Linked DNA regions of Elephas maximus indicus. The protein of the gene in region 4 interacts with the protein of the main gene of each other region in a biochemical or structural test. Links are inferred from orthologs where the notes say so. Each region holds a gene or a part of one and is shown on either strand. Other genes may lie near its edges.

The links.
Region 1: the proteins of GRB2 (region 4) and FASLG form a complex in vitro, tested with the Homo sapiens proteins (2 studies listed by BioGRID). The link is inferred for Elephas maximus indicus from reciprocal best matches to the Homo sapiens genes GRB2 and FASLG.
Region 2: the proteins of GRB2 (region 4) and MAPK9 form a complex in vitro, tested with the Homo sapiens proteins (2 studies listed by BioGRID). The link is inferred for Elephas maximus indicus from reciprocal best matches to the Homo sapiens genes GRB2 and MAPK9.
Region 3: the proteins of GRB2 (region 4) and AXL form a complex in vitro, tested with the Homo sapiens proteins (2 studies listed by BioGRID, with this or other methods). The link is inferred for Elephas maximus indicus from reciprocal best matches to the Homo sapiens genes GRB2 and AXL.

The regions. Positions count from the first base shown.
Region 1 is NC_064821.1:210,464,808-210,472,240, forward strand, and holds the start of FASLG (tumor necrosis factor ligand superfamily member 6), read right to left. Parts: upstream 3,019-7,433; 5' UTR 2,921-3,018; coding exon 2,585-2,920; intron 2,004-2,584; coding exon 1,958-2,003; intron 1-1,957. UniProt on the Homo sapiens protein: Cytokine that binds to TNFRSF6/FAS, a receptor that transduces the apoptotic signal into cells. Involved in cytotoxic T-cell-mediated apoptosis, natural killer cell-mediated apoptosis and in T-cell development.
Region 2 is NC_064820.1:202,713,841-202,720,806, forward strand, and holds the start of MAPK9 (mitogen-activated protein kinase 9), read right to left. Parts: upstream 3,012-6,966; 5' UTR 2,806-3,011; intron 1-2,805. UniProt on the Homo sapiens protein: Serine/threonine-protein kinase involved in various processes such as cell proliferation, differentiation, migration, transformation and programmed cell death.
Region 3 is NC_064829.1:109,947,749-109,954,912, forward strand, and holds the start of AXL (tyrosine-protein kinase receptor UFO), read right to left. Parts: upstream 3,010-7,164; 5' UTR 2,558-3,009; coding exon 2,494-2,557; intron 1,377-2,493; coding exon 1,154-1,376; intron 820-1,153; coding exon 719-819; intron 1-718. UniProt on the Homo sapiens protein: Receptor tyrosine kinase that transduces signals from the extracellular matrix into the cytoplasm by binding growth factor GAS6 and which is thus regulating many physiological processes including cell survival, cell proliferation, migration and differentiation.
Region 4 is NC_064837.1:65,722,153-65,729,716, forward strand, and holds the start of GRB2 (growth factor receptor-bound protein 2), read right to left. Parts: upstream 3,007-7,564; 5' UTR 2,818-3,006; intron 1-2,817. UniProt on the Homo sapiens protein: Non-enzymatic adapter protein that plays a pivotal role in precisely regulated signaling cascades from cell surface receptors to cellular responses, including signaling transduction and gene expression.

The DNA.
Region 1 (7,433 bases), on a different chromosome or scaffold from region 4:
TTGCCTTTTCATCTAAAAATATGCAATAGCAGTCCCTGTGGCATTAAATGTCCTTCTAACATACAGTTTTTAGTTGCTGCATAGTATTCTCTCATCTAAATTCACTATATTTAACTACTCTTCTGTTATAAGGCATGAGGTTTCTTCCTTCTATATAAATCTCCAGGCATGTCTTTGATTATTTTCTCAAGACAAATTCATATTGCGTTGATTTCAAGGTAAGTTAACACTTTTAGGTTATTGATATCTTTTTCCAAACTGTTCTTCAGAAAAATTATAGCAATTTATATTGCCACTGGTTGTCAACTAATGTTGAAGGAAGCCCTTTTCTCTCATCTCTTTGCCAATCTGGGTATTATCCTTTTTTTTTTTTTTAAATCTTTACCAATTTGATGTATGAAAATAGGTATCCCCTATCTCCATTTGAATTTCTTATCCTACTGATAAAGTTACTACCTTGATTTCCATGTGATATTTCACCCATTTCAGGTTGACCTGGGTCAATCTAGAGAAGATACATGTTTCCTGGGGTAGGTAGACCTGAGTCATCTGTTCGTTTGACTTTTCCTCACTAAAATGACTCCACTGAGTAGGTGAGAGATGAGTAATAAGGCGCCTTCTTCACCAGCCCCATTCCACTGGTTTTCAAAGCTACTTCCTTCTAGAAGTCTTCCAAAGTCTTCATTTTTCTAACAAATATTTCCTCTCTGCTTGTGTATGTCTGGACTTTCTAACACTTAGGGGCTCTGACCCAGAACTGGGTTCCAGAGCACCTGCTCCTGCAAGAACTTACAACCGAGGACAGCAAGGTACCTGGGCTGCCTGTAGTAGGCACCCCCTAAGAACCCAAGCACGCTCCACCGAATGGCTGGCCAGCTCTGCCTTCTGTGTTCTGCTCGGTTTCCAGGGATGAGATGTGCCTACTTGCAGAGGCATCCTGCCTTTCCTCTTATTTCTCATTCCATGGCCATCAGAGAGACAGGCTTTTCCTTATCCTATGAGGCACCAGTCCGCATGCTGGAAGGCCCCACAGGTGACGAAGCGTCAAAAGCTTTGTTTCCTCTAGTCTGAGGTCCATGTCAGTGGTCTTGGGAATATCACCTAATCTGTCTGGTATTTTGTTTCTTTTCTGGAAAATGAGCTGGATCAAATAAGCTCTAAGCTCCCTTTCAACTCTAACCAAATCTTATGAGTTCAATGAATCTTAGTTTAAGACAGATTGGGAATATCCTAAAAATCTATCTGTTCAGCACTTCAAAAACTATGGCCTGAAGCTTCATGAGGTCACTGTTCAACAACTTTACCTTCTTCCTGTCCTGAGTCTCATACAAAGGATATGAGCACATGACTGCTTCTAGGTGTGAAGCTGGACTTTCCTTTGAATAGTTGCTAGGCTTCCCTAAACTTTCCAGTCATTCCAGAAGAACCATCCTAATGAAGGTGATTGGCTGTACTGTTATTACAAGCTGAGTTTAGTTTATAAAATATTTTTTTAAAATAGAGTTTGACTCTTGAGTAATCTCTTTTAGAAAGTTTAAAAAGGAAAGAACATTTCCCAGAAACACCTTCTCTGTCTCCACCCCACTCTGTCTCCCTGGGAGTTACAATCACTGCCATGGGCACCGGACTCAGGAGGCCTGAGGAAGGGGACAGGCCTGGAGCCAGCAGTTCAGGAGGCAAAAGTTCAGGGTGTGTGTGTGTCTCCATCCAAGGTCAAGTACAAGTTATTTTGAATTCTGTACAGTACTCAGCTACACTGATTTTGAACAATTAAATTCACTTCATATTTTAAAGTAGCAGAATAAACCGTAATGACCAGAGGTTTGGAATTAGCCGGGCTCCCTCTCGTAGTATATACATGCCCAGGAATGAGAAGGATTGCAAGCCACTGCACCAACATTGTTTAGTGTTGAGGACTATCTTTGAGAATTCAATGTATGTACATAAAAGGACTCACCTATTTGCTTCTCCAGAGATGATGCTACAGGGCTTAGGCGGGTGGACTGGCAAAAGAGAAAAGATATGTAATAAATATGAAGACCTTTAGGCAAAGGAGGCAGGATTGTCAAAAAAAACCAAGCCCTGGAAAGAGAACCCAAATACCTCAGAATCTCTCTGATCTCAGACTTTTGCCAAGCAGTTGTGCCCTTTCTAGCTCAGTTTTGTGATTTGGAATAGTACTAGTATTTTTAAAGGATTTTCAAGGAGATTTAGTTTGGCCATTTGAACTAATCCACTTCTAAGCAAGAATCAATGTTTATTTTATTTTTTGACTCACTAGGTGTTAGGCAGTAAATAGCTAGGCAGACTGATTAGCCAACTGAGAAAGGAATTGTAAATGCTAATCCTATCTTGGCCCTGATCCTTTATAAGACAGAGGAAAAAAAAAATCCCCTCACATGTATGGCTCTCTATTTCTCTGCCTGTAGAATGGAATGAGCGTAATAACCCATTTCCAAGAGAGGAAAAAAAAGATTGAGAAGCACTTGGCAAAGAAAGCAGTGGGCCACAGTGGTCCTCGGCCCCCACTGCACAGAGCTGTCTTGGTGAGCCCAGCACGCAGCCCCCCTCAGGCCAGGCTTACCTCTCTGAGTTCAGCCAGCTCCTTCTGCAGGTGGAAGAGCTGGAACAACCCCAGCCCCAGTCCAACCAGGGCCACCAGAACCATGAAAAACATTACGAGGAGATATAGGCCTGTGTTGGGATTCCGTCTCTTCTTCAGAAGTGATGGTGGGAATGGAGGCAGTGGTGGCCGTGGTGGCAGCGGTGGCGGTGGGGGTGGTGGTGGCCTCATTTGGCCGGGTCTTCCAGGCACAGAGGAAGGGCAGGGGAGAGCAGACCCTGGAGGGGCCAAAGGAGAGCTGGAGCTGCTGTCCACCCAGTAGATTTGGGGATATGGGTAATTCAGTGGCTGCCACATGGCAGCCAGGAACTCAGGGCACCCTCCAGGCAAAGAATTTTACTTCTTCTCGATCCTGTGTAGGCTGAGGTGTCAGAGGAGGGGACTCCTGTTGCTAAGTGCTCAAGAAAAGGGAAGCCGGAGCTCTCTTTATAGAGTTTCCACAGCTAAGGGAAACACTTCTCTCGATCTCTTTCTGTTTCTCAGAGAAACACCCACTCACTTTACGTCTGAAGCTGAGAAGCCTCAAGGAGCTCGGAGCAATTTGCGCCTGAAGTTGAAAGCCTCAAGGAGCTCAGGGTAAACCGCTGTAAGCTTCTACCCACAATTTTCTGACGAAAGCATTCAAAGTCCCAGTTGCTGTTGCTTTGCTACCTGAAAAGGCTGGTAGGTTAGGCTCCTCTTTCTCAGACCTGCTGGAGCAGGTAAGAATCAGGGGCCAGCCTGGTGGGCATAACCTGCTGCCTAACTGCAGAGAGGTTGGCCAGCGGGGCGCTTTCAAGCACTGAGGGGAGAGACCATTGAGTTGTGGCCAGAGGAACCACTTCCACATCTTACCTTTTGCATGAGCTGCCATCCCTTCCCCTAACCCAAATACTGTTTACCCTGACATTGCAAAACACCAGAATTTACAGGAGAAAAAACCCTGCCCCACCCACTATCTAGAGATTAGATCAGAAGTTGCAAACCTGTGGCCCGTAGGCCTTACAGAACCCACAGGCCTGTTTCATTTGTACCTCACAATGTTTTTCTTCTAATTGGCTGTCTACCTTTAAAATCAGGAGATTCCACATCAAAAATACAGGTTTTAATTCTGTCTTGAAACATTAGAAGACTGGGCACACTCAAGACCATCTCTGCAAACCCAGTTGGTGTGAGCTGGGTAGCAGCTGCCCACGTGGACAGAGCCCTGAAGCTCCAGGTCACCCAGGGTCCCCACCCCCGACTATGTGTCACACACCACCACATGTGGGAAATGGCTTCCTGACCACTGTAGGAATTTCTGTTTGCAGCTCCTTTTAGGGTTGCCAGGTAAAACACAGGACACTCAGTTAAATTTGAATTTCAGATAAATAATGAATAATTTTTAGTATAAGTATGCCTCAAATATTGTATGAAACATACTAAAAAAAAGGTTGCTTATTTGAAATTCAAATTTAATTCTTGAACTCACATGTGGCTTTGGTTGTAGTCATTAAAGGCAGTGTCATGGATTGAATTGTGTCTCCCCTAAATATGGGTCAACTTGGCTAAGCCATGATTCCTGGTATTCTGTGCTTATCCTCAATTTTGTGATCTGATGTACTTTTCCTATGTGTTTTAAATCCTAATCTTTGCCTGTAGTTAATGAGGCAAGATTAGTTTAAGTTAAAGAGGATTAGGGTGGGATGTAACACCCTTACTCAGGTTACAGCCCTCAATCCAATAAGGGGAGTTTTCTTGGGGTATGGCCTGCATCATCTTTTATCTTGTAAGAGATAAGAGGTGAGAGAGAGGAGCAGAGAGAGAGGGACCTCCTAACACCAAGAAAGAAGAGCCAAGAGTAGAGCGTGTCCTTTGGACCTGAGGTCCTTGTGCTGAGAAAACTCCTACACCCAGGGGAAGATAAACAGAGAAAGAAATCCCTCTCCCTGAGCTGGTGCTCTGAGTTCGGCCTTCTAGCCTCCTAAACTGTGAGAGAATAAATTTCTGTTTGTTAAAGCAATCCACTTGTGGTATTTCTGTTATAGCAGCACTAGATAACTAAGACAGACTGAGAAAAAACTAAGACAGTAAGTTTAAATAATAATTAGCTAGAAAATATAATTTTAAGAATTCTACCACACTCATAAAAAGCCCTTAAAATATACTAAAATAACTCTAACAAGAATTATACAGGTGTATATTTTAAAAATTACAAAATTTTACTGAAAATGGCAAAGATGCAAATACATGGAAAAATAGACTACATCCTGGGTGGGAGGATAGAGAGGTAGTATTGCATGATGGGTAAGAATGGGCCCTGGAGTTAAACTGCCTGGGTGCAGCTTCCAGCTCCATCACTTATTATCTCTGTGATTTGGACAGGTCGCTTTCTATTTTCTGTGCCTCAGTTTCCTCATCCCCCAAATGTGCATGATCATAATAGTACTTACCTTACAAGGCTCTGTGGGGATTAAATGAGTCAAAGTATAAGATACCTTTAGAAGAGTCCCTGGCAACAAGGTGAAACCAAAAATACATAAATAAAAACTGTTGCCATCAAGTCTTTTAGGCTTGTGGCCACCCCATGTGTTTCAAAGTAGAACTGTGCATAGGGTTTCCAACGGCTGATTTTTCAGAAGTAGATCACTAAGTCTTTCTTCAGAGGCTCCTCTGGGTGGACTCGACCCACCAACCCTTCCGTTAGTAGGTTTTCAAACGCTTAGCTATCGCACAACCCGTGGACTCCGGCAACAAAGTAAGCCCTCAAGAAATGTTAGTTGTTGTTAGTTTATCAGATCTCTCCCAAATAATTCAACTACAGACAATGGAATTGACCTTCTTCTGTTAAGAATAAACCAGTTGGTAGGGAGGAGAAGGGCTGCAGAGAAAAGCACAAATTCTGTGCTTGACATCTAATATCTCTCAGAGATTCCACCGCTGGACTGCGGGACCCTCTGCCTCAGGCTAGGACCCTCCGCTTTTTATCTCAAACTTCCACGATTCTCCAATAAGAACTATGCTGTATTTGTACATCTTCCTCGGCCCTGCTTCTTCTCTTGATTCATATTGTTCTAGGAGGACTCAGAAGCCCCATCCCTGCCCCTGACACACCCACTGTCCCCCAAGCTTAGGGACAATCTGAACTGAAATAGAGACAAGGAGAGCAGGCTTTAAACACTTGTGTCCCTCTTTGGTAATGCCGCCAAACATCACATTTAGCCAAATCATGGGGGAAAAAACACATACCCCTCAGCACAATAAAGACCCCTTCACAGTTCGAGGCACTACTAGAACACTGCTAATTAGGAAAAATAATCTTTTCTTTAAGACCCCAGAGGCTACTCACCAATGTAGAATGTAGAACATTTTCCTTATAAACTATGTTATGCTAAAATTGTTTGTTCTTTTTTTTTTAATTGTGCTTTAAGTGTAAGTTTACAGCTCAAGTTAGTTTCTCATATAAAAATTTATGCACACATTGTTATGTGACCCAAGTTGCTATCCCTATAATATGTCAGCACACTCCTCCTTTCCACCCCGGATTTCCCATGTCCATTCAAAAAGCTCCTATTCCTTTCTACCTTCTCATCTGACCTCTGAATAGGAGCTGCCCATCAGTCTCATGTATCTACTTGACCTAAGAAGCGCACTCTTCATGAGTATCATTTTATGTCTTATAGTCCAGTGTTGGCTTTGGGAATGGTTTTAGTTCTGGGTTAACAGAGAGTCCTGGGGCCTTGTCTTCTGGGGTCCCTCCAGTCTCAGTCGGACCATTAATTCTGGTTTTTTTACTAGAATTTGAGTTCTGCACCCTACTTTTTTCCTGCTCCATCAGGGACTCTTTGTTGTACTCCCTATTAGGGTGTTCATTGGTGGTAGCCAGGCACCATCTAGTTCTTCTGGTCTCAGGCTAATGGAGTCTCTGATTTATGTGGCCCTTTTTGTTTCTTGGGCTAATATTTTCCTTGTGTCTTTGGTGTTCTTCATTCTCCTTTACTCCAGGTTGGTCGGGATCAACTGATGCATCTTAGGTGGCCACTCACTAGTTTTAAGACCACAGACACCACTCACCAAAGCGGGATGCAGGACATTTTCTTAATAAACTTTGTTATGCCAATTGACCTAGAAGTCCCCTGAAACCATGGTTCCCCAGATCCCCACCAGTGCTATTCTGTTCCTCGAAGTGTTTGGTCATATTCAGGAAATTCCTTAGCTTTTGGTCTAGTCCAGTTGTGCTGACTTCCCCTGAACAGTGTGTTGTCCGCCTAAGATAATTCTTCTCTACTTCCACCCTTAACCATCAAAGAATGTTTTCTTCTGTGTTTAAACATTTTCTGGAGTTTTTATAATAGTGGTCTCATACAATATTTGTCCTTTTGTGACTTACTAATTTCAACCAGCATAATGCCTTCCAGATTCATCCATGTTATTAGATGTTTTGCAGATTCATCATTGTTCTTCATTGTTGCATAGTATTCTATTGTGTGAATATACCATAATTTGTTTATCCATTCATTGTTTGATGGGCACCTAGGTTGTTTCCACCTTTTTGCTGTTGTGAACGTTGCTGCAATGAGCGTGAGTGTGCATATATCTATTTGTGTGAGTGCTCTTATTTTTCTATGGTACTTCTAGCTTTTTAAGGAAGCATCAAATCAACTTCCAAAGTGGTTGTACCATTTTACACTCCTACCAGCAGTATATAAGTGTTTCAATCTCTCCACAATCTCTCCAACATTTATCATTTTGTGTTTTTGGATTAGTGCTAGCTTTGTTGGGGTGAGATGGTATCTCAGTGTAGTTTTGATTTGCATTCTCTAATGGCTAATGATCCTGAGTATTTCCTTAT
Region 2 (6,966 bases), on a different chromosome or scaffold from region 4:
TATGGCTGCTATGGGTCAGAATCGACTCGATGGCAATGGGTTTGGTTTTTTGGGTTTTACCACCAAATCAATAGAGTTAAAAGAAAAAAAAGTGCTTTCTGTTTTACCATATTCATCACGAAAACAGTTGGTTTGAGAATGTACTTACTCACAGTATTTGCTGCATCAAAACTTTTCTTTAACCAGATAATTAAGATGACTTTATTTTAAAGAGAAAAATATGAAATTTAAGTGTACCCTCTAACATTTATTTAGGGAACCAAACAAACACCTTTTAATCTGTCAACAAATTATTTAAAGTCATGGCACCTTAAAAATAAAATTCTCAGGCATATCAAAGCTCTCCAGAGAAGACTGCCAAAATACAATTATTTTTAACCCCTCGAGATCCTTTTGAAGGAAACAAACAAAATGGATAGAGGAAAACATCATCTAGATTGGATTTTGTTCTTACAGAATAACAAAGGCCAAAAGAGTGTGCTCAGAGCTGAAGGACCCAGGAAAGAACACTGGATCTGGGGGAGACCTGGGTTCAAATTTCACTTACCAGCTGCTCATCTGAAGCAGACTGCTCAAACTCTATAAGCCTCAGTTTCCTCGTCTGTAAAAATGGGTTTCATAGCTGTTACTCAAGGGCTCCTAACAATTAAGTGGGAGTACCTGGGCTGGTACCTGGCCTTAGGCTACCTTTCCAGTGAATCACAGCAACTTCCTCCTACACAGCCTGTCCTGGAGCATGACAATCCTATAGCCAAGCTGAATGAGGCTTATTATATTTTGCTTGGCTCATAGCAGTTTTTGGTTTGCTTGCTTGTTTTTAGTGTGTGTAATTAATTAACTACTGTCAGCATTTACACAAAAGAGCCCTGGTGGCGCAGTGGTTAAAGCAATTGACTGCTAACCAAAAAGTTCAGCTGTTCAAAACCACCAGTGGCTCTATGAGAGAAAAGATGTAGCAGTCTGCTTCCATAGGGATTTACAGCCTTGGAAACCCTATGGAATCACTGAGTCGGAATCAACTCGATGGCAGTAGGTTTAAGTTTGGGAGATATTTACAAAACCAGGAGAGTAAACACAAAAATCTGGAATTCTAGCTTCTTTTAAAAAATTGCTGGGTGGGGTTCTGGTAGTCCAGGGCCCCCACCACTCCGTGCTCTCTTACACCTGGCCTTGTGGCGGACTTCCAGCTCCATACTGGGCTAAAGCCTGACCCCCAACCTCGTCATACTTCCGTGCCTCTCCTTGCCTGGCAAACTTCTCAGCATCCTTCAAGGCCCAACCCCAACACCACCTGTTGCCTCCTCCACTATAGCAGTCATCATGCTGTCCTGGGACAAACTGTCTGCATGTCTGCTTTCCCTGCTGGGCTCTCTGGGGGAAGGGACCCTGTCGCCATCTCATTTGTGTCCCCAAGGCCTAGCACAAAACCTGACCTAGATAATCTAGAACTCCATAAATGTCTACTGAATGGAAGGAAGATGGAGCTAAAATATCACATGCTTTCATATCGACAGCTTGTTCCGACAGTTACCAAATAAAGAGGTCAAGAACATTAAAACGTTTCACAAAATGAGAACAAGCTTCCATCTGCTTATAGGTCTCACAAGTTAATCAGAAGTCACTAAATTAAAAGATAAACCAGAGGCAATAGGGAGGCAGGGTCATTCCTTAAAGCATCCATTCATTCATTCAACTGATATTACTAAGTACTTACTGTGTGCTTTCTAAGCAGTTGGGATAAAGCAGTGAGCAAATCAGACAACTACCTGTTTTCCTAGTGCTTACATCCTAGCAGGAGAAACAGAAAATAAACAGGCAGACAAACAGAACAGTTTCAAGCCAGAATATACCACTGGGAATAAAATTAAACAAAGGAGACAGAATGACTAAAGAAAGAAAGAGGGTGGTCAAGGAAGGCCTCACAGAAAACATACGACCAGAGATGTCCAGAGAAACGAACACCAAGGAGTCAGCTGTGTAAAGATCCAGAAGACAACTCCAAACACAAGAAACAGCAATTGCAAAGGTCTTGAGGTGTATGAGGCTTGGAATTTTCAAGGCAGGTGAGGTGAGTGGGATAGGAGCACACTGCTATGGATGGAAGGGACGGGAGAGGAGGTGGGCAGGGCCGCTCAGGCGCTGCCAGGGGCATTGAGTGTGCAATAACAAGGCACTGGAAGAGTGCAAGGGCTGGAGGCTGGGAGGGATGGGATTGTCCTGCCACTCACACCTGCAAGGGGCACCATCCTGCCCGATTTCCCACAAATGTGTACAAGGCTCACGCACTTTCACACACCGCCACAAACCTGACAACCACTCTGTACAAAAGTGTTGACAATTCGTCCTTTTCCCGATGGGTAAACTGAGGCATGGTGAGGGTCAGTGCCTTGGCCAAGGTCGCAGGGACCAGACCCGGAGCTCCTGAGCATCGCAGCACCGGTGTGTGTGCAGCTGCGCGCCCCGGAGTCAGGAGGGGTGGCACCCGCAGACCCCTTCCTGCGCCCCCACCCCCCACAACTCCTCACCCCCGGGCAGGTCTGTCGGGGCCAGGCCCGGAAGCCTGCCAACACCCGGGACTGCTAACAGCTGGGAGGAAGGGGGCGATTGCGGCAGCCTCTAGGGCAGGGGCGGCGGCCCGGACCGCCAGCTCCCCGCAGGCCCTGGCCCACCCCGCGGCCTGCATCCGGCAGCCCTGCGCCCACTCCGCAAAGCCCGGCCGCTAGCCCTCCCGCCGCCCCTTGCCGGAGGGGTCCGGACCAAGCAGCCCCCGCCGGGCCTAGCCTTCTCGCCACCCGCCGCGCTCACCTCGCCTCCCCGCCGCCGCGCCAAGGGGAGAGGGCGGGCGGGCAGACTGGCAGCGCTGCGCGCTGGCAGTTCCCGGATCCGCTGCCCCCGGGCTCGGCCGGCCGCCCCGCCCCGCTACGCCCAGCCGCCGCAGTGGGTGTGAGGGGCTCCGGGGCGCTTCGACCCTTCCGGTCGGGTTCCCTCCGCAGCCGCCGCCGCCGCGGCGCCTTTCCTGACTGACCGGAGGGCCAACCAATCAGCTCGCGGAAAGCCGGGCCGACGCGGCCAATTGCGCCAGGAGGCCCACCCGCTGCTGGGCGGTGCTGGCGAGGCGGCAGGTGGGGCGGCAGGCGGAGCCTGCGGCCGGGTCGGTTGCCTGAGGTCTCGGTTGGGGTATGGCGGGGCTCAGCGTCTCTGAGACCGTGCGCTTGCTCGGGCCACGCAGCCGCCGCATACAGACCTGCCTAGTGCGTACCATGGGCTGGAGGCGCAAGCATGACTCGGCCCGCCCCCCAAGCCCGGCAAGAAGGGCTCGGCACGACGACCGGACGCGGACCCGGGAGGCGGCGGAGAGGGTAGACAAAACCGAGATCCGGGCCGGAGGCGGACCTGGCTGGGGCGCCTCACCGCAGTGGGGCCGAGCAGGAGCCAGCCTCGGGGCTGCGGGTTCAGGCTCGCAGGGACCAGGCGTCCCGGAGGTGGACTGAGAGCCGGCCCGTTTCGGGGAGAACCCGGGCGAAGGCGAGGGGAGGCTGGGGCCGGGTCGCCCGGGAATCGGCGTGAAACGGCCCTGGGGGAAGTGGGAGGAGAGGCGCAGGGCCTTTCGACTACGCTGCTCACTGCAGCTGGGGGAGCTGCGCGCCTCAGTGAAGGGGCTTTTCGGGGATGCGGTCAGAATCCAGTTGTTGCAGGGGAGGCCCGAGGAGATGGAGAGCTTCTGTGTAGACAATCTCTCCCAGTTGATCAGCGACTGAGGGAAGGAGAGGATGGACTGGTGCGTCTGGTGGCAGGGCTGAAACGAACGGGGTCCAATCCCTCGGTCTTAGAGGAGAAGGGCAAAACCGTAAATGGAGGGTGTTAGTGCTGGTGGCGCAATGGTCAAAGCGCTTGGCTGCTAACCAAAAGGTAGACGGTTCCAACCCACCAGCTGCTCCGCGGGAGAAAAGACCTGAATATCTGTTCATGTAAAGATACAGCCTAGAAAGCCTTATGGGGTTCTGTCCTAGGGGGTCGCTATGAGTCGGAATTGGCTGGAGGGTACACAACGAGAGTGCTGAGGGCCCGCTAGTGACTGGGGTCTGTTGACACTGAGCTTTTGGGGCTTCTCCTGCAGCCCTCAAGGCCCTCGGGTCAGGTAACTGCCGGCTTAGTGTCTTAGAAGATGAGAGTTTATCTGGTGCTGTGGCTAAGTAAAGACGGAAGTGAAGCAAGGACGCTGAATGCGTTTAGAGAAAGCTTGAGGCCAATGGATGGGGTGTGAGTGGGGGGAGTTAGACTTTGGGGATGGGAAGAGTAGGAGATGGTGCTTGGCAAATGGTGACCTTGGAGAAGGAGCAACAGTCCTAGGATGCCAGGGTCCATGGAGTGACTAGGGGTAAGGGATAAGGTAGGAAGAAGAAGCAGGACCCCGTAGATGGGTGGTCAAGGGACTGAGAGGCATGGGTGGCAGAACTTGGGGAAGGCAGCAAGACTGACTAGGTATCAAGGGGACCCGAGTGCCGAGCAAGGCTGGTGGCACCACTAGGGTCTCAGAGGAGGGGTGGGGTAGAGGAAGGGATCGAGTCATGGTGTCCCCATTAGGCCACCCTCCCCCCCCACTATGGCCACCAAAGGGAGGTTTCTAAAACTAACTATAGCTCTTGAGTGTGGCCTTCAATGGAGGGCCCACCTAATGGGTTCCTGCTGATACTTCATTGACGCCTACCACCTGCTTCGGGCACCCTGACTTCATTTGCACTCCAGAAAACAGAGAATGAAAAATGCCACCATCAGGGATTTGGGGAAACTAGTAAAAGCCTGGCTGTCAGTTGTAATTCTACCAAGGAGCATTTGTGGAACCTTCTGGTCAGATTAGGAAGGGAGCACCAATTCCCAGACACATACTGTGCCCGATTTTACAACATCCACCTTTAAAATGCACCCTTTACCCTATGCAAAGTGAGTAACCAGCATAGCAAAACTACAATGAGATACCATCTCATTGTTAAAATAAATAAATGTTGGAGACCTTTCGAGGAGATTAGAACTCTTACGCACTGTGGGTGGGAATGTAAAGTGGCACAACTACTATGGAAAACGATGTAGTGCCTTCTTAAAAAGCTAGAAATACCATACAATTCAGCAATTCCATTCCTAGGAGTATTAAAAAAAAAAAAAAAGAAATAAGAGCTGTCACATGAGTAGACGTATGCACACCCATGTTCATCACAACACTATTCACAATGGCAAAAGGATGGAAACAGCTTAAGTGCCCATCAGTAGATGAATGGATACACAAATTATGGTACATACACACAATGGAATACTACGCAATGATAAAGAACAATGATGAATCTGTGAAACATCTCATGACGTGGATGAATCTGGAGGGTATGCTGAGTGAAATAAGTCAAACACAAAGACAAAATACTGTACACGATCACTGTTATAAAAACTCAAGAAAAGGTTTACACACAGAAAAAAACATTCTTTGATGGTTACGAGGGAGGGGAGGGATGAGGAGGACAAATCACTATATAGTAGAAAAGTGTCAGCTCTGGTGAAGGGAAAGACAACACACAATATAGGGGAAGTCAGCACAACTTGACCAAGGCAAAGTCGTAGAAGTTTCCTAGATACATCCAAACACCTTGAGGACTGAGTTGCTGGGGCTGAGGGCTGGGGACCAGAGTCTTGGGGGACACCTGGGTCAGTTGGCATAATACAGTTCGTAAAGAAAATGTTCTACATCCTACTTTCGTGTATAGCATCTGGGGTCTTAAAAGCTTGCAAGTAGATGTATCTATGATACATCTATTGGTCTCATCCTGTCCGTAGCAAAGGAGAATGAAGAAAACCAAAGACACAAGGAAAATAATTTGCCCAAAGGACTAAAGGACCACATGAACCACAGCCATCACTAGCCTGAGCCCAGAAGACCTAGATGGTGTCCTGCTACCACCACAGACCAATTCTGACAGGTATCACGATAGAGAGCCCCAGACAGAGGGGGAGAAAAATGTAGAACAGAGTTCAAATTCACAAAAAAAAACCAGATTTACTGGCTTGACAGAGACTGGAGGAACCGCTGAGACTATGGTCCTGGACACCCTGCTAACTCAGAACTGAAGGCACTCCCAAAGCCCGCTTTTCAGCCATTAGACAGGTCTATAAAACAACACACGTGAGGAACGTGTTTCTTAGTTCAATTAAATATATGAGACTTAGTTATGTAGTGCTGCTATAGTAGAAATACCTCAAGTGGATGGCTTTAGCAAACAAGTTTATTCTCTTACAGTCTAGTAGGCTTGAAGCCTTAATTCAGAGTGCCAGCTCCAGGGGAAGGCTTTTAGTCTTCCTCAGGGCTGGAGGGACGCCCTTGTCATCAATCTTCCCTTGGTCCAGGAGCTTCTCCAGGCAGGAACCCTGGGTCCAAAGGATGTGCTCCACTCCAGGTGCTGCTTTCTTGGTGGTATGAGGGCCCCCCTCCCGATCTGATTCTCTCTTTTAGACCCCAAAAAAGATTGACTCAAGATACAACCTAATCTTGTAGATTGAGTTCTGCCTTATTAACATGACTGCCTCTAATCCTGCCTTATTAACATCATGGAGGTAGGATTTACAACACAAAGGAAAATCACATCAGATGACAAAATGGTGAACAAGCACACAATACTGGGAATCATGGCCTAGCCAAGTTGACACAAATTTTGGGGGGACACAATTTAATCCATAATAGAGACCAAATGGGCAACTCCTCCCCAAAAGCAAGACGAGAAGGTAGGAAGGAGCAGGAAAACTGGACTAATGGACATGGGGAACCCAGGGTGGAAAGAGGGAGAGTGCTGTCACATTGCTGGGATTGCAACTGATGTCACAACAATATGTGTATAAGTTTTTGATTGGGAAACAATTGAGCTGTAAACTTTCACCTAAAGCACAATAAAATTAAAAAACAAAGAAACTAAAAAATCACTGCACACA
Region 3 (7,164 bases), on a different chromosome or scaffold from region 4:
CTCAGGGTCTTTGATCCCCCACGTCTGACCACCCAGGACACCTGAGCCCCCCCTCAGATTTGGACCCTTCAAGGCCTCTGCCCCAAGGACCAGAAAAAAAAAACAACAACGACAAAAAAAACAAACCGTTGCTGTCAAGTCGATTCTGACTCTTAACAACCCTATAGGACAGAATAGAACTGCCTCGTAGGGTTTCCAAGGAGCAGCTAATGGATTTGACTGTCGACCTTTTGGTTAGCAGCTCAGCTCTTTACACTATGCCACCAGGGGTGCCCCTGAGGACACATCACCCGAATATTTGACCCTCTCATACCTGACTCCCCAGGACCTCTGAACCCCTCATGCCTCATCTCCAGAGAGTTTGGCTCCTCATCTCATTTTACTGATGAGGAAAGTGTGTGTGTGTCGGGGGGTGGGGGGGGTCAGGTATATGTGTGTGTGCCTCTGATCCCTAACTATGTGTGATCCCCAAGACATCTGAGTACCCCAGGCTGTCTTCTCCCCCGGGACATGTAATACTCCCAGGCCTGCCCCCTATAATTTATGGGATCCTAGCTTCTTGACCTCCCAAGACCTCTGTCATCCCCAGGCTGGATGTCCCCCTAGAACACCTTGGACCCTCCAGCACCCTCCAAGCCCGAGAGATTCTTGACCTCTCTGGACTTATCAGCTCCCCTTGTCCTTGGGCCCCTCAGGGCCTCTGACCCCCAGGGCTCACCCTCCAGCCCCACATAGCCAGGCTTGGATAGAAAGGTCTCTCCTTCCAGGACCACCATGCACTGGTACCGCCCTGCGTCCGAGAGCTGCAGGGACGAGATTCTGACAGGACAGAGAGGTTCTAGGTCAGAGCCAGACACTGGTAAGGAGTGGTCAGAACTGAGATGGGGTGGGGGAAAACTGTAAGAACCATGAAATAGGTACTGTTATTATCTCATTTCACAGAAGGGGAAAGTGAAATCCAGAGGGTGACATAACATGCCGAAAGCCACACAGCTAGGAAGTGGCAAGGCTGGGATTCCCACCTGGGTGGTCTAGCTCCAGGCCCATGATTGTTTTACCCACCATATCAGTATGTGATGGAGGTAGGGGGCTAGGGAAGGACAGGGGTCAGGAGGGACGTGGGGGTCTTGGCTGGTGGAGGGAGACTGGACACCTGAGTTGGCTGACCACTTTCCATTCATCCTGTTCATCTTCGCCCAGGGGCACCTGGGTCTGGGTGGTGTCTGCCAGCTCCAGGACCTGTCCATCCTGGAGCCAGGTCACATCAGGGGGCTCCCCCTGGACCTGGAGCTCACACTGAAGGGCCCCTGTGAGTCCCCGGGCACCAGTGATGTTCCCTGGGCTCCCCACAAAAGGGTTCACCTCAGCCTTTGTGCCTGCAGGGGATACAGGGAAGAGTTAGCTTAGGGGTCCCCGCTTCGCTCTGGCCCCTCTGTTTCCTGTCCTGCTCCCCGCCTGCCCACCGGCTGCCAGGACCCCGCCAGGCCCTCAGGCCCACATAGCTAGAGAGTGACCTCAGAGGGGGTAGAGGGCGGAGGCTTTCGGGGGAGGATGGGAATCTCCCTAGGGGACTAGGTCACTTGTCTGTCCGTTGGGAAGTCTGCTGGGATCTGGCAGCCTCCCACGCCCTGGACTGCCCCCTGGACTGCCTGGCAGGGCAAGCTCCTGCCCCCTCTGCCTGGCCTTAGGGTCTCTAGAGACTTAACGCTCGGGGCTGGGTGGGTAGAGGGGAAGCCAAGGACTGGGAGGGATAGGGGAGAGAAACAGAGGACAGGCGAGAGAGAAGCCAGAGAGAGAAAGTCAGGCATGGGGAGTCAGAGACAGAGAGGCCCAGACGCATACACAGACACCCACACGCACACACACACTCCCCCAGGAGGAAGGAAGAGGAGATAGGCATACAGAAGGTGACTGAAGAGAGGAGACGGGTGACAGTGAGACAAAGCCCCCATCCCCAGAAACGGAGGTCTAAAGACAGACAGACAGCCGTGGGGGGGGGGCGGTGTGGGGGGGTAGTGGTCCTCTTTCCTCTCCCTGACTTTGGCGGGGGGGTTGCGGGGGGCAGAGGTCGTCTTTCTTCTCCCTGACTTTGTGCTCCTTTCTTTTGGGAGATTCCAGGCTACCCCCAGCTCAGCCCCTCTTCCCAAGGCCCCCGACTCAAGCCTAGCCTCCACCCCCCCACCCCAGCTTCTCCTTGGCTCTGTCCCGGAGCTTCTCGCCTTGTGTGTCTGTCTGTCTCTCCTCTCCGAGTGCATCTCTTCCCGTCTCTGGCCCTCTCGGTTTCTATTTCTTGTCCTCCTGTTCCTCTCTCTGAGGCTCTTTCTCTCCCTCTGCCCCTCTGGGTTGGTCTGAGTCTCTGGGTCTCTCTCTGTTGTCCCAGAATGCACACCCCCAACACCTGCCATCCACCCCCGATCCCGTGCTCCCCTCAGCCCCGCACCCGGCGCCCCCCACCCTGCAGTGGCCCTGCCCCACTAAGCCCCTGTCACTCACCCTTGAGGGCCACGCAGCCCCAGCAGCACAGCGCCAAGCACCAGGCCAGCGGGACCCTGCCCATCCTCGGGGACCACGCAGTTGATGCCAAACTTTCCTCACAAGTTCCCAGGCACCCCGCGGGGCAGGGGGCAGGGCCGGGCTGTCCCCAGCCCTCCCCCCAGCTCCGGGCTCCTCGGATTTGGCACTGCCCGCCTGGCACAGCAGGGGCCCCTGGCCGGCTCTACTCAGCAGCCTTGCCTGCTTCCCTGCCTTCTTCTCTCCCTCCCAGACTTTGGGGCAGCCCTTTCCCCGCCCCTGGCCCCCACTGCCTCCGCCCACCAGGGGGCCACCTGGGCAGTGAGGGGTTAACGCAGAGAGGAGTGGACCTGCCCTGTCTTAAAGGGGCCTTGGAGGGAGGCTGGGGAGGGGGAAGGGGGCCCTGGTGGCTGCGCCCCTAATCCTGGGCCGGGAGGCAGGAGGCTGTGTTTCTCTTCGGGGCTCTGGGCGCTGTCTCTCCGTGTCTGGTAAACATTCCTCCAGAAGTCCACTCCCCTCTCAGCCTGTGGGAACCCCCTCCCCGCCTCCACCCCCGGCCTGGCCACCGCCAGGCCTCCCTCGGCTGGCCCTTCACTCCCCCTCACTGTTACAGCTTCTCCTTGGACAGGGGCACACGCACACAGACACATAGGCACACACACGCACACACTCAGCTGTTGACACTCAGAGCTGGGACAGGCAGAGACATGCAGCAGTGTGCTGCTGGCCCGCAGACACACTCAGACAAGCCGGGTCAGAAACTCACTTCCAGAGAAACCTCAGAAACAGGAGGGCCCGACTGCGTTGGCCCATGGGGGACGCAGGGAGACAGGAGGGTCAGACACACAAAAAACACCCCACACGGACACATAGAGGGGACTGCAGTGTGTGGGCGCCCATGGGAACATGGAGCCTCAGACGCACAGAGTTACGCACACGTACAGATACACACACACACACACACACAGTCAGACGCGCAAGGAAACAGACGTATTCCCAGGCAGATGAGCACAGACACTCCAGAGTTACAGTCAGATGCGGGAACATGCAGGCCCACATATAGGCTGAGCGCATGGAAACACAGGCACAGATGGGCTGATACGCGTGGAAACAGAGTCACAGACGCAGAAATACTGAACCAAGGGTGTGTGCAGCTGTGCAGAAACACAGGTACGCAGGGGGTCAGACATGGGAATCAGCCATGTAGACACACACAGACACACACACACACACATAGACACACACACACCATAGCCAGACTGATACTGGTGGAAAAGCTATTCAGCTCTTGGTGTAACCCCATCTCCCAGCCCTGGACCCCCTAAAGCCCTCCAAACAGACCCTACACCTGTGACTTGCCCTTTCCCTACACCCTGTCCAGTAGGCAGAGGCCAGGGGAGTGGAGGGACACTTGAGTTTAAGGTCCTGGTCTTCACCATCTCTCTGGGGTTGGTGGTTACCAGGCTTCATCCATCCACATCCCCTCGTTCTGGGGCCTCCATGGTCCTCCAGAGATAGTGCAATAGAGCAAAGAGAACCCTAGGCCAGGAGGTGGGGTGGGCAGGACCCCCAAGTCCAAGATTTGCTGTGTGGCCTCAGGCTAGTCCCTTCCCCTCTCTGGGCCTGTATCCGCAGTATTGACAAGTTGGTCTCTATGGGTCTGGTGAGCTCTGGGGGTTTGCAGTTGCCAGGAGCAGGGATCTATATTTTCTCTCCCCTGACCTGGCACTCCACCAGGGTTGAGACTAGAATGCAGGCTATAGGTTGGTGAGCCCAGGCATAACCCCCTTGCTCCGGACCCTACTTTTCTGAATCTGAATGTCTTGTCCCCTCTGGGTCTGTTCCCCCAAGCACTTTGGAGCATGAGGCTCTGTCTAAAGCCTGGCCTGTGTCCAGAGGTATAACACATGGGGAGGTTTAGCTAATGGTTAAGACTGGGCGTGAAATCTCAGCCCTCCCACTAACTGTGTGATCTTGGGCAAGTGACTGGCCTCTTTGAGTCTTGGTTTGCCTATCTGTGAAATGGGAATAAGAATAGAACCCACTTGGCTAGGTAGTGGGAGGATGACATAGCAAAGTGTACGCAGTGCTTAGCACTTGGTGACGACTGCTCACGATTTTTCGAATCTTGTCTCTGGTTGTCTCTCTGTGTGCACTTGCTTATCTGTGTCTCCCTGCTGGGATTATGTGTCTTGGTCTGTCCCTGCAGACCCTGTAGTACCTTTGTGTGGACGGTGCTTTATGTCCAGCTCTGTGCCCCTATGGGGGTTCCTGAGGGTATTTAGAATTCTTGCCTTCCGTGTGGAGGCACTGGTTCCATTCCTGGCCGTGCACCTCAAGTGCAGCCACTACCTGTCTGTCAGTGGAGGCTTGGGTGTTGCTGTCATGGGCTGAATTGTGTCCCCCCAAAATATTTGTCAACTTGGTTAGGCCATGTTTCCCAGTATTGTGTGGTTGTCCACCATTTTGTGATCGTAATTTTATGTTAAACGGGATTAGGGTGGGATTGTAACATCTTTACCCAGGTCACATTCCTGATCCAATGTAGAGGTAGTTTCCTTGAAGTGTGGCCTGCACCACCTTTTATCTCTCAAGAGATAAAAAGGAAAGGGAAGTGAGCAGAGAGGGGGGACCTCATACCACCAATAAAGCAATGCCAGGAGCAGAGTGCACCCTTTGGACCCAGGGTCCCTACGCAGAGAAGCCCCTAGTCCCGGGGAGGTTTGATGAGAAGGCTGACAGAGACAGAGAAAGCTTCCCCTGGAGCTTATGTCCTGAATTTGAACTTTTAGCCTACTGGACTGTGAGAAAATGAATTTCTCTTTGTTAAAGCCATCCACTTGTGGTATTTCTGTTACAGCAGCACTAGATGACTAAGACAGTTGCTGTGATGCTGAACAGATTTCAACAGAGCTTCCAGATGAAGGTAGACTAGGAAGAAAGGCCTGATGATCTACTTGCAAAAATCACCCAATGAAAACCTGATGGCTCACAATGGTCTGATCCCCTTATATACGGGGTCACCATGAGTCAGGGCCAGCTCGAAGGCAGCTAACAACATGGGGGTCCCTGCATGCCTTGGGGGTCTCTACATCCATCTCCCTGCTCTTGGCCACTTCTGTTGGTCATCACAAAGATCTGTCCATTCAGTCACCTGTGACCCTTTCTCCACCCCAAATAGTCCAACTCCATTCTCTCCTGCTGGGGTACCTCCCTGGGATTCTGGCCTCCACTGTCTTCCCTCCAAACTGTCTCCCTTCCTGCAGCCAGTGGGGTGTTTTTGAAATTCAAATCTGACCCTGTTCCTCCCCTGCTTAACTGTGGCTTCCCACTGCCTCCAGGTAGCTCCTAGCCCCTTAGACGGGCATAAGTTGGGCAACCACGATCTGGCTTGCTGAACTGTCTCTTCATTGTCCCATCTCAGGGATGGCCCCTGAAGGCATTCTGGCACCCATGCCTGACTCTCGGGGTCCTCCAGGACAGTCCTACCCTGCAGGTAGTTACCAAGTCCCTTGGATTCAGCTTCACAAACCTCTCTCCCATCTACCTCTCTTCTCATCCCCACAATCATGCCCTGGTCCAGCCTGGTTCTTTGCCACTGGGATCCCTGCTCTGGCTTCCTCACTTGGCTCCTGGGCTTGTCCCTTGGTGCCTAGGCTCATCCACAGACTCTTGGGCTTCTCCCCAGACTCCTGGGCTCCTCCCTGGGCTCCTCGGCTCCTGGTCTCCTCCCTAGGCTCCTGGGCTCCTCCCTGGGCTCCTGGGCTCTTCCTCGAGCTCTTGGGCTCCTCCACAGGCTCCTGGGCTCCTCCCTGAGCTCTTGGGCTCCTCCCTAGGCTCCCGGACTCCTTCCTGAGTTCCTGGGCTTCTCCCTAGACTCCTGGGCCCCTCCCTAGGCTCCTGGGCTCCTCCTTGAGCCCCTGGGCTTCTCCGTGGGCTTTTGGGCTCCTCCGTGGGCTCCTGGACTCCTGCCTGGGCTCCTGGGCTTCTCCCCAGCTCCCCAGCTCCTCCCCGAGCCCCCGGGCTCATCTGAGGGCTCCTGGGATCCTCCCTGAGTTCCTGGGCTTCTCCCTAGGCTCCTGGGCTCCTCCTTGCACTCCTGAGCCCCTCCCTGGGTGCCTCCCCAGACTCCTGAACTCCTCCCTGGGCTCTTCCCCCAGCTCCTGGGCTCCTCCCCGGGCTCTTCCCCAGGCTCCTGAACTACTCTGCTTGGGCTCCACGCTTCCTGTCTCACTCCTTCCGACCTGTCTCCTATTCAGCAGCCACAAGGATGTTTCTCAATCACAAATCAAACCTTTCCCTTCCTGCCCCAAACTTCCCAGGACAAAACCCCAAACTCCTCACCAAGGCCTAAAAGGGCCCCCTACCCCTCTCCTCAACACTCCCATCCCTCCCCAGTCTTCTTTCACTTCCTCACAGACCTCAGAACATGCTCCCGCCGCTATTGGTCCCACACATAGGAAAGCCACAAAGTTCCTAAAAGAATTATACCAGCTTGGATTGAGGGAGACAGAAATCCTACTTGGGGGGTCTTTTCCCTCCAAATTTCCACAGGCAGAAAGCAGGTTGAGATTATTGTTGTTGTGAGCTGCTGTCGAGTCTGCCTGACTCATGAAGACCCATGCACAACAGAACACACCACAGATTGTTATG
Region 4 (7,564 bases):
CCATCTGCACCAAATCACCCCATTCAGAGACTGATTTACCGTGGGGTGCCCCCTGGAGTTCTACAACATAGTGGCCTTAGGCCCAAAACTTGATTTTAAATAAGCTCCCCAGGTGATTCTTACGCATACCAAATTTTAAGAATCGCTGCTGTACTACAAAAGGGTGCCTTAACCAAATGTTAAAATTTGCATTCCTGATAGTATACTACAATGTTTTTGCATAAAGTGAAAATAATATGTATTCAACTGGCACAACTGGGAAAAAGGCAGCCTCGACAAATTTAAGAAAAAAGAAAAGCATCTCAATGGTCATTCAGTAGTGCTGCAGGATACTTCTGGAGTCAGGGAACTTCATTTCTCTCAGGAGAGTATGGTGGTTTTCAATTCTGTATTAACCCCATTTCTCCAAAATACGTGACTCTTCTCATTTACGCAACAATTAGAACACACTTGCTGCACAGCCAACATGATAATAAGAAACACTGAAAAGTTATCATTAACTAATATAGCATTCAAATTAAAAAAAAAACTAATACCATTCAAAAATTTTAAAAAGTACGCCTCCCAAATCTGAATACACTTGCTGAGGAAGTAAACTGTCTCGAACATTTATTTAAACGCTTGATTTTGGCATCAAAGAAGGCTGATTACAAGAATTAATGTCTTTTTTTAATCTTGGGATTCATAAATTATAAACACCGGAAGGGGCAACAGAACAAATCAAGGTATTTCTTTTTGGCAAAAAAAAAAAAAACGACTAATTACAACAGATAGAGAAAGGAGTCTGATAAAGAAAAAAGAAGTACCCTGGTGGCCCAGTGGTTAAGAGCTACAGCTGCTAACTAAAAGGTCGGCAGTTTGAATCCACCAGCCACTCCTTAAAAGCCCTACGGTGCGGTTCTACTCTGCCCTATAGGGTCGCTATGGGTCGGAATCGACTCGACAGCAAGGGGTTTGGTTTTCTGGTTTTTATATGACACGGTGGCTGCAACAATGGGCTCAAGCACAGCAAAGAGATTGTGAGGATGGCGCAGGACCGGCAGTGTTCAGTCGCTGTGAGTCGGAACTGACTTGATGGCAACTGACAACAATCACACTGGCTTGGCTTTAACTGATTTATCAATGGTCTGAATAAATTTTATTCCCATACATTTTTCTCATCTTTATTCTAACACAGGTTTATAACCGATTTTCATCTTTTAGCATTAACCACCCCCACTAAAAATTATAAAGAAGTCATCTAAGCCCCAAATGGACCCCATCTTCCTCACAAGTATAAAAGACACACAGGAAGAGAAGCAAAAGCGGGCACAAAAACACGACCATAAAGTGAAGGAAAAGCGAAAACACACGTAACAGAAGCAAACCACACCTGGACCTAGCGGCAGTATCGATTGCTTACTGATGAATTCAATTCTTTGAGCCTACCAGTTCCCAGGGGGAGAACTCCAGTGTCACACGGCTCTCTAGCAACCCTGCTGGCTGACTGAAGGAACACAGTGGAAGCTTAAAAGTAAAGGAATGAAAGCAGGAAAGCGGGTGTTTTCCCGTGCAAGAAAACGGGATCTTTAAATGAGGGAGAAAACGAACTGCGCCCAACGGCAGAAACCTCTTTTGAAAGAAAAACTGTACCGAGAGGGGAGAGGAAAGAGGAAGGGGAAGTAGGTTAGGGAAGAAAAAAAGGGGGGGGAGGCAAATGACTTGCATTACACAAGTAAGCATTTAGCGTCTGTAGGGCAAGTGAGAGAAGCAGCAATAAACGGAAGGCAATAACTGAAAAAGCACAACGACAGACAAGAAAGCCAAAATAGATTAACGCTAATTTCTCTCGTCTCTTTGACTCTTTTCCGAGTCAACAGCACCCAAAGTTAGACCTCCAGTGCACTTCAGCTCCTCTGCAAATTGCATTTTTATAACACTTGAAATCAGCCTTGGATAAGTTTCTAAACAAGCCGTAAGTCAGATAGTTTACAGCTATATATACACGCAGAGCGTTCCCAACGACAAATACCAGGACTTCCCTCTGGCCGAAATCTTTCCTCGGAGCGTGCCAGCCAACTGCTGCTTATTTTTCCTGACATATTTTTTAAAGAGACGCTCGAAAAGTTAGAGATAGAAATAAAGGGCATCCTTACTGGCTCCGGAAACCCTGGTGGCGTAGTGGTTAATAGTTCCGCTGCTAACCAAAAGGTTGGCAGTTCGAATCCACCAGGCGCTCCTTGGAAACACTGTGGGGCAGTTATACTCTCGCTATAGGGTCGCTATGAGTCGGAATCACTCGACGGCAACGGGTTGGGCTTGATTTTCTACTGGCTCCGGCAGCAAACGTTCTAGCTCCCGGTACTAACAGGGTTAGTGGATTCCCTTGCAAAATTCGGGCCAAAGACACCGAGAGATGGTGACGTGGTGGCCGTTCAGGTCGCAGGAGCATCCCCGCGCTTGCAGCCTGATCCGGATCCCCCACCTCCAGGGCGAAGTCAGGCTGACTCACAGAATTAGCACCCAGGGCCTCTCCGGCTCCTCCCGGGCCCCATCTGCGCACACCCTCACCATGAAGGCACTAGATTTAACCGAGAGGCACCCAGAGAGCCCCCGGCCCCTTCCCCCGGGTCGCGACTCTGCCCAGAGCCAAAAGCCGTGGGAGGACGGTGCCCAGAAAGGAACCACCCCAAAAAGGGAAGCATGGAGTCGGAACCTCGGGGATTCCGCCCTTCGTCGCCCGCCCGGACTCCCGGGCCCGGCCGGGTGCCGCCTCCCGCTGCCGAGCGGGGAGGAAGAAGCATCGGAGCAGCGCCGAGCGACGCCGCCCGAACTCACCGTGGCGCAGCGACTCCGCTCCGGCCCGACCGGCCCCTCCGAGCGGTGCGAGCGGCCGCCGATCCCGCTGCTACTCCCCGAGGGCAGCTCCTGTTCCCGCCGCCGTCACCCCCACAGCCGCCGGGTCGCAGAAGCAGCAGAGCCGCCTCGCTTCCGCTCCTCGTCGGGGTCCCGCGAGAACTGCCGCGTACCGCCCCCGCGAGACTCCCCCCGGCGGAAGAGGCCCAAAGCGCAAGCGCACCTCCGCGGCCGGGCCTCCGCGAATGGAGCCGAGCGGCGTGCCAGGGCGCACGCGTCAGACCGCCCCGCAGCCCGTGGCACCGGGCTGGCTCCGCCCCCGGGCCGCTGTAACCCGCTCGGTGCCAGAGCGAGTAAATTACGCCTCAGACCTGAAGGTGTACTTCTTGCCAGACCGTAATCACTTTCCGTTTCCCTTTCAGCAACCCAAGGTAATGAAACAAAACAAAACAAAAACAAAAACGCTCCCTGCAGTATGAAGCTTCTCCAAATAGAGAACCAGGTCTTGAAATGTTTGAGAGTCCGGTCCATACAAACTGCAGTGTTGGGTGAATTAACGCTCTGGTTCACTTTGATGGAATCGTGTGCCTACTATGTGCTAAGTATATAAGATACAATGACGAACAAAAATCCGGCCCTCGAGGAATCCACAGCCTAGAGAAGTTGAACAAAAGTAAGCAAATAATGCTATAAGCACTGCTGTAATTATTTGGGGATTGCGGAAAACGGGAAAAGGATGGAAGGAGGGGTCACCATTCAGCCCACGGTAGAAAACCTTCACAGAAAAGGTGATGTGACGTTTGAGCTGAGTCTTGGAGGACGAGTAGGAGTTCGCCAGGGTAAGGGCATCCCAGGCAACGGTAACAGAGGCGGGAGAGAATGTCCTGTGCTGTGCTATGCTAAGTAGTTCGATGGTTGCACGAGGCGGGTGAGTACCCTGGAGTGGCAGAAGCTGAGACTTGGAGAAAAAACTCCTCTTTTCAGTTCCAAACGCGTATTCCAATTAAAGGAGGCAACAGAACACATCTAACGTGAATGTGCTCTCTGGAAACCGGCAAAATGGCATGGTGATGAGAATAACCAAACATCTGATTCTATAGAGAAAATAAGCCTATTGAAATAAGGAAGAGGAATTGTTCTTTCACCAGATATTTATTGATCAGCAATTGCTGGCAATGCACTCTGCAGGCTAAAAGATGAACCAGACAGAACCTCCGCTTTCAGCAGTTTACGATTTAGAGAAGAGTTGCCTAGTCTGCAAGTCGAAGTCGCTGGCACCAAGTACCACTGAACGACCTATAGGACTGCTGAGGAGGGAGCCATTACAGTTCTCGTGCTGAAGTAGTCAGGGAGGACGTGGTGTTTCAGCTGGAATTTGAAAGCAGAGAGGAAAAATGATGGATCAGCCAATATTTCAGACTGGCCATAGCCCAGGATTTGGGGAAGGAATAAGGAGATAGTGGCCAAGAAGCTTAGCTTAGGTTTAAGTGATGTGCAACCTCTGATGGTTTGTAAGTAGATATCTGACGTGAGATGGTAATAACAAGAGGACCATCTATTTAGCACCTGATATGTACTAAAGTCACAGCTCATGTATAAACCCATTGCTGTCGAATTGACTCCCACTCATAGCAACCCTATAGGACAGAGTACAACTGCCCCAAACGGTTTTCAACGAGCGCCTGGTGGATTTGAACTGCCAACCATTTGGTTAGCAGTGGAACTCTCAACCACTACGCCACCAGGGTTTCCCAGTTCATGTATAGAGTGGTTAATATCCCCATTTTACAAATTTAGAAACTGGGGCATAGTGAGGTTAGTAACTTACCCAAAGAAACCACATATAGCAGACCCAAGATTTGAACCCATCTTGTTTCAAAAACACATGTTCCCCCCCCCCCCACTATTACACTCTGTTCTAGAATGGCGGCCAGAAAAATAGACATGGAAGGGAAGGACTAAACCATAACCAGTTAACCAATTTCCATAGAGTCCATTCCAACTCACGATGACCCCCTGTGTGTCAGAGTAGAACTGTGCTCTATAGGTTCTTTTTTTATTTTTATTTTTTAATGCAGTTTAGGAGGAAGTTTACAGAACAAATTAGTTTCTCATTCAAACACAAATTGTTTTGTGACATTGATTGTAATTCCTGCAGTGTGTCGGCCCTGCCCCATTTTCCTCTTGGGGTTCCCCTTTTCCATTCTTCCAGTTTTCTGTCCCTGACTTCTTGTCTTTGCTTTGGGTCAGGTTTTGACCAATTGGTCTCCTATACTTGATTGATCTAAGACGCATACTCCTCACGTGTGTTACTGTTTGTTTTATAGGCCTGACGGCACTGGGTTTGTTTTTTTTTTTAATCTTTGGCTGAGAAGTGAACTTCGGGAGTGGCTTCAGTTCTGAGTTAAAAGGGTGTCCAGGGGCCATAGTCTTGGGGATTCCTCCAATCTCTGTCAGACCAATAAGTCTGATCTCGTTTGTGAATTTGAATTTGTTCCACATTTTTCTCCTGCTCTGTCTGGAACCCTCTATTGTGATCCCTGCCAGAGCAATCAGTGGTGGTAGCTGGGCATCATTCAGTTCTTCTGGTCTCAGGCTGGTGGAGGCAGTGGTCCATGTGGCCCATTAGTCCTTTGGACTAATATTTTCCTTGTGTCTTTGGTTTTCTTCATTCTCCTTTGCTCCAGATGGAATGGGACCAATATATGTAGATGGCCATTTACAGGCTTTTAAGACCCCAGACACTACTCACCAAAGTGAGATGTAGAACATTTTCTTTATGAACTATGCTGTGCCAATTGATCTAGATGTTCCCCGAGACCGCAATCCTCAACCTGCTCTATAGGTTTTCAGTGACTGACTTTTATCACGTAGATTACGAGGCCTTTCTTCTGAGGTGTCTCTGGGTGGACTTGAATCTCCAACCTTTTGGTTAGCTGCCAAGAGCATTAACTGTTAGCACCACGCAGAGGCTCTGAGACCCTGGTTAGCCAGTCTAAGAGGGAACGAGTATTCCAGATGGAGGGTACAGCATGTGCAAGGGCCGGACAGTAAGAGAGAACTCAAGGATGCCAGTTCTAGCTGCGAAGAAGAAGGCAAAGGGAAGAAGAACGTGGCATATGTCTGGAGGTCAGAGAGCTCATGTGGGGCCTTTTCAGCATTGCTGAAGACTTGAAACTTGGTTCTCTAGGATATTCAAGCAGAGATGGGCCATGGTCAGATACTTCAAAATTCTTTGTCATGCTGGCTGCAGAGTGGAAAATCAATTGGAACTGAGATATTTATCAACTACAAGATAGTATCTCAAGTCCTTTCTGAGGCCCTTGTTTTTTTGATATCTGGCCCCTGTTCCCCAGCCCCACCCACCTTTCCTCAACCAACCCAACCTTCCCCCCTTCCCCCAACACAGGCTCCACCAATACTAAACCCTTTGTGGTTTCCGGAGAGTGTCAGATCTTCTGAGTGTCCTTATCTTTGCACATGCTGTTTCCTCTGCCTGGTTGGCCTTCTCCCCTTCTTTAGTTCTCCAAGTCAGCCTTAGGGCTCCTTCTCCAGAATTCCCATCATACATCTCATTTCACTGCATTATTACTATTTGCTTGCTTTCCTGCCCCCTAATGGTCTGCAAGCTCCAGGACAAACACCTTTTCATGTTTGTATTCCCAGCAACCAGCACAGTGCCTGGTACAAAATAGGATTCACAGAGTGACTAAGTAGATGGATGAATGAACACATGGATAGATGGCTGAAGAATGAAGGTTGACTAGAGATAAACCTGTGGCTGCTCTTCTGTGCAGTGATGGTATTTGAAGCTAAGGAAGTAAGATCTCAGAAGAGACTAGATGCCTAAGAGAGCAGAAAAAAAAGTTATGTACTTCCTTTTAAAATGCAGCATTGATAAAACCGTCTCTGAGTATTCCTATGTAAAATTATATGCATATGGACCAGATTTGGAAGGGAATATTTAAAAATAAAAATATTTGTGTTGAAATGGAGCAATTGTGGGTGACCAAAAAAAAAAAACAGTGCTACATTATCTTTTCATTACTTTTTGTTATTGTTCTGCAGACGCAGACTCTGAAGCTTGAGAGAGCATTGCCAGAGATCATTCCCCACAGAGAAAACACAGAAGAGGCAGTAGTGTTTTGAATGCGTATGGCCGCCAACGTTAAATTCTGAAAACGAGGGAAGAAGCAAGCTGTGAAGTCAAAGTCACGCCCTGATGTGAAAACCTGTTATAACTGTTGCGAAACTTGCTGATTACAAACTGGCTACATCAGTTATTTCATAATGCATAAATTAATCATCAAAAAGTCTCTCTTTGGGGTTTGCGGTTCATTTTAGTCGACAGGTAGAGTATCTTGCTTTGCTTTCTGGGAGTTATGGTACTGCCACCTCGAGGTGAAAACTGGATATTGCCCTGAAATTTACTTACCTTGGAGGTCTGTGAAGGTCTGTAGTACAAACGGTTAACAGGCTGGGCTACAAAATGAAAGGTTGGTGGTTTGCATTGGCCTAGAGGCCGCTAGGAAAAAAGCCTTGAAGACCTACTTCCAAAAAGTCAGCCATTGAAAACCCTATGAAGCACAGTTCTACTCCGCAACACATGGGGTCGCCCTCAGTCAAAATTTGCTCCACCGCAATTTTTTTTTTTTTTTTTTGGAGGCCTGTATACAATTAGCCTTACATCTAACCTTCTCCCCTAGAAGTAGGCTCAAGACCATCTCAG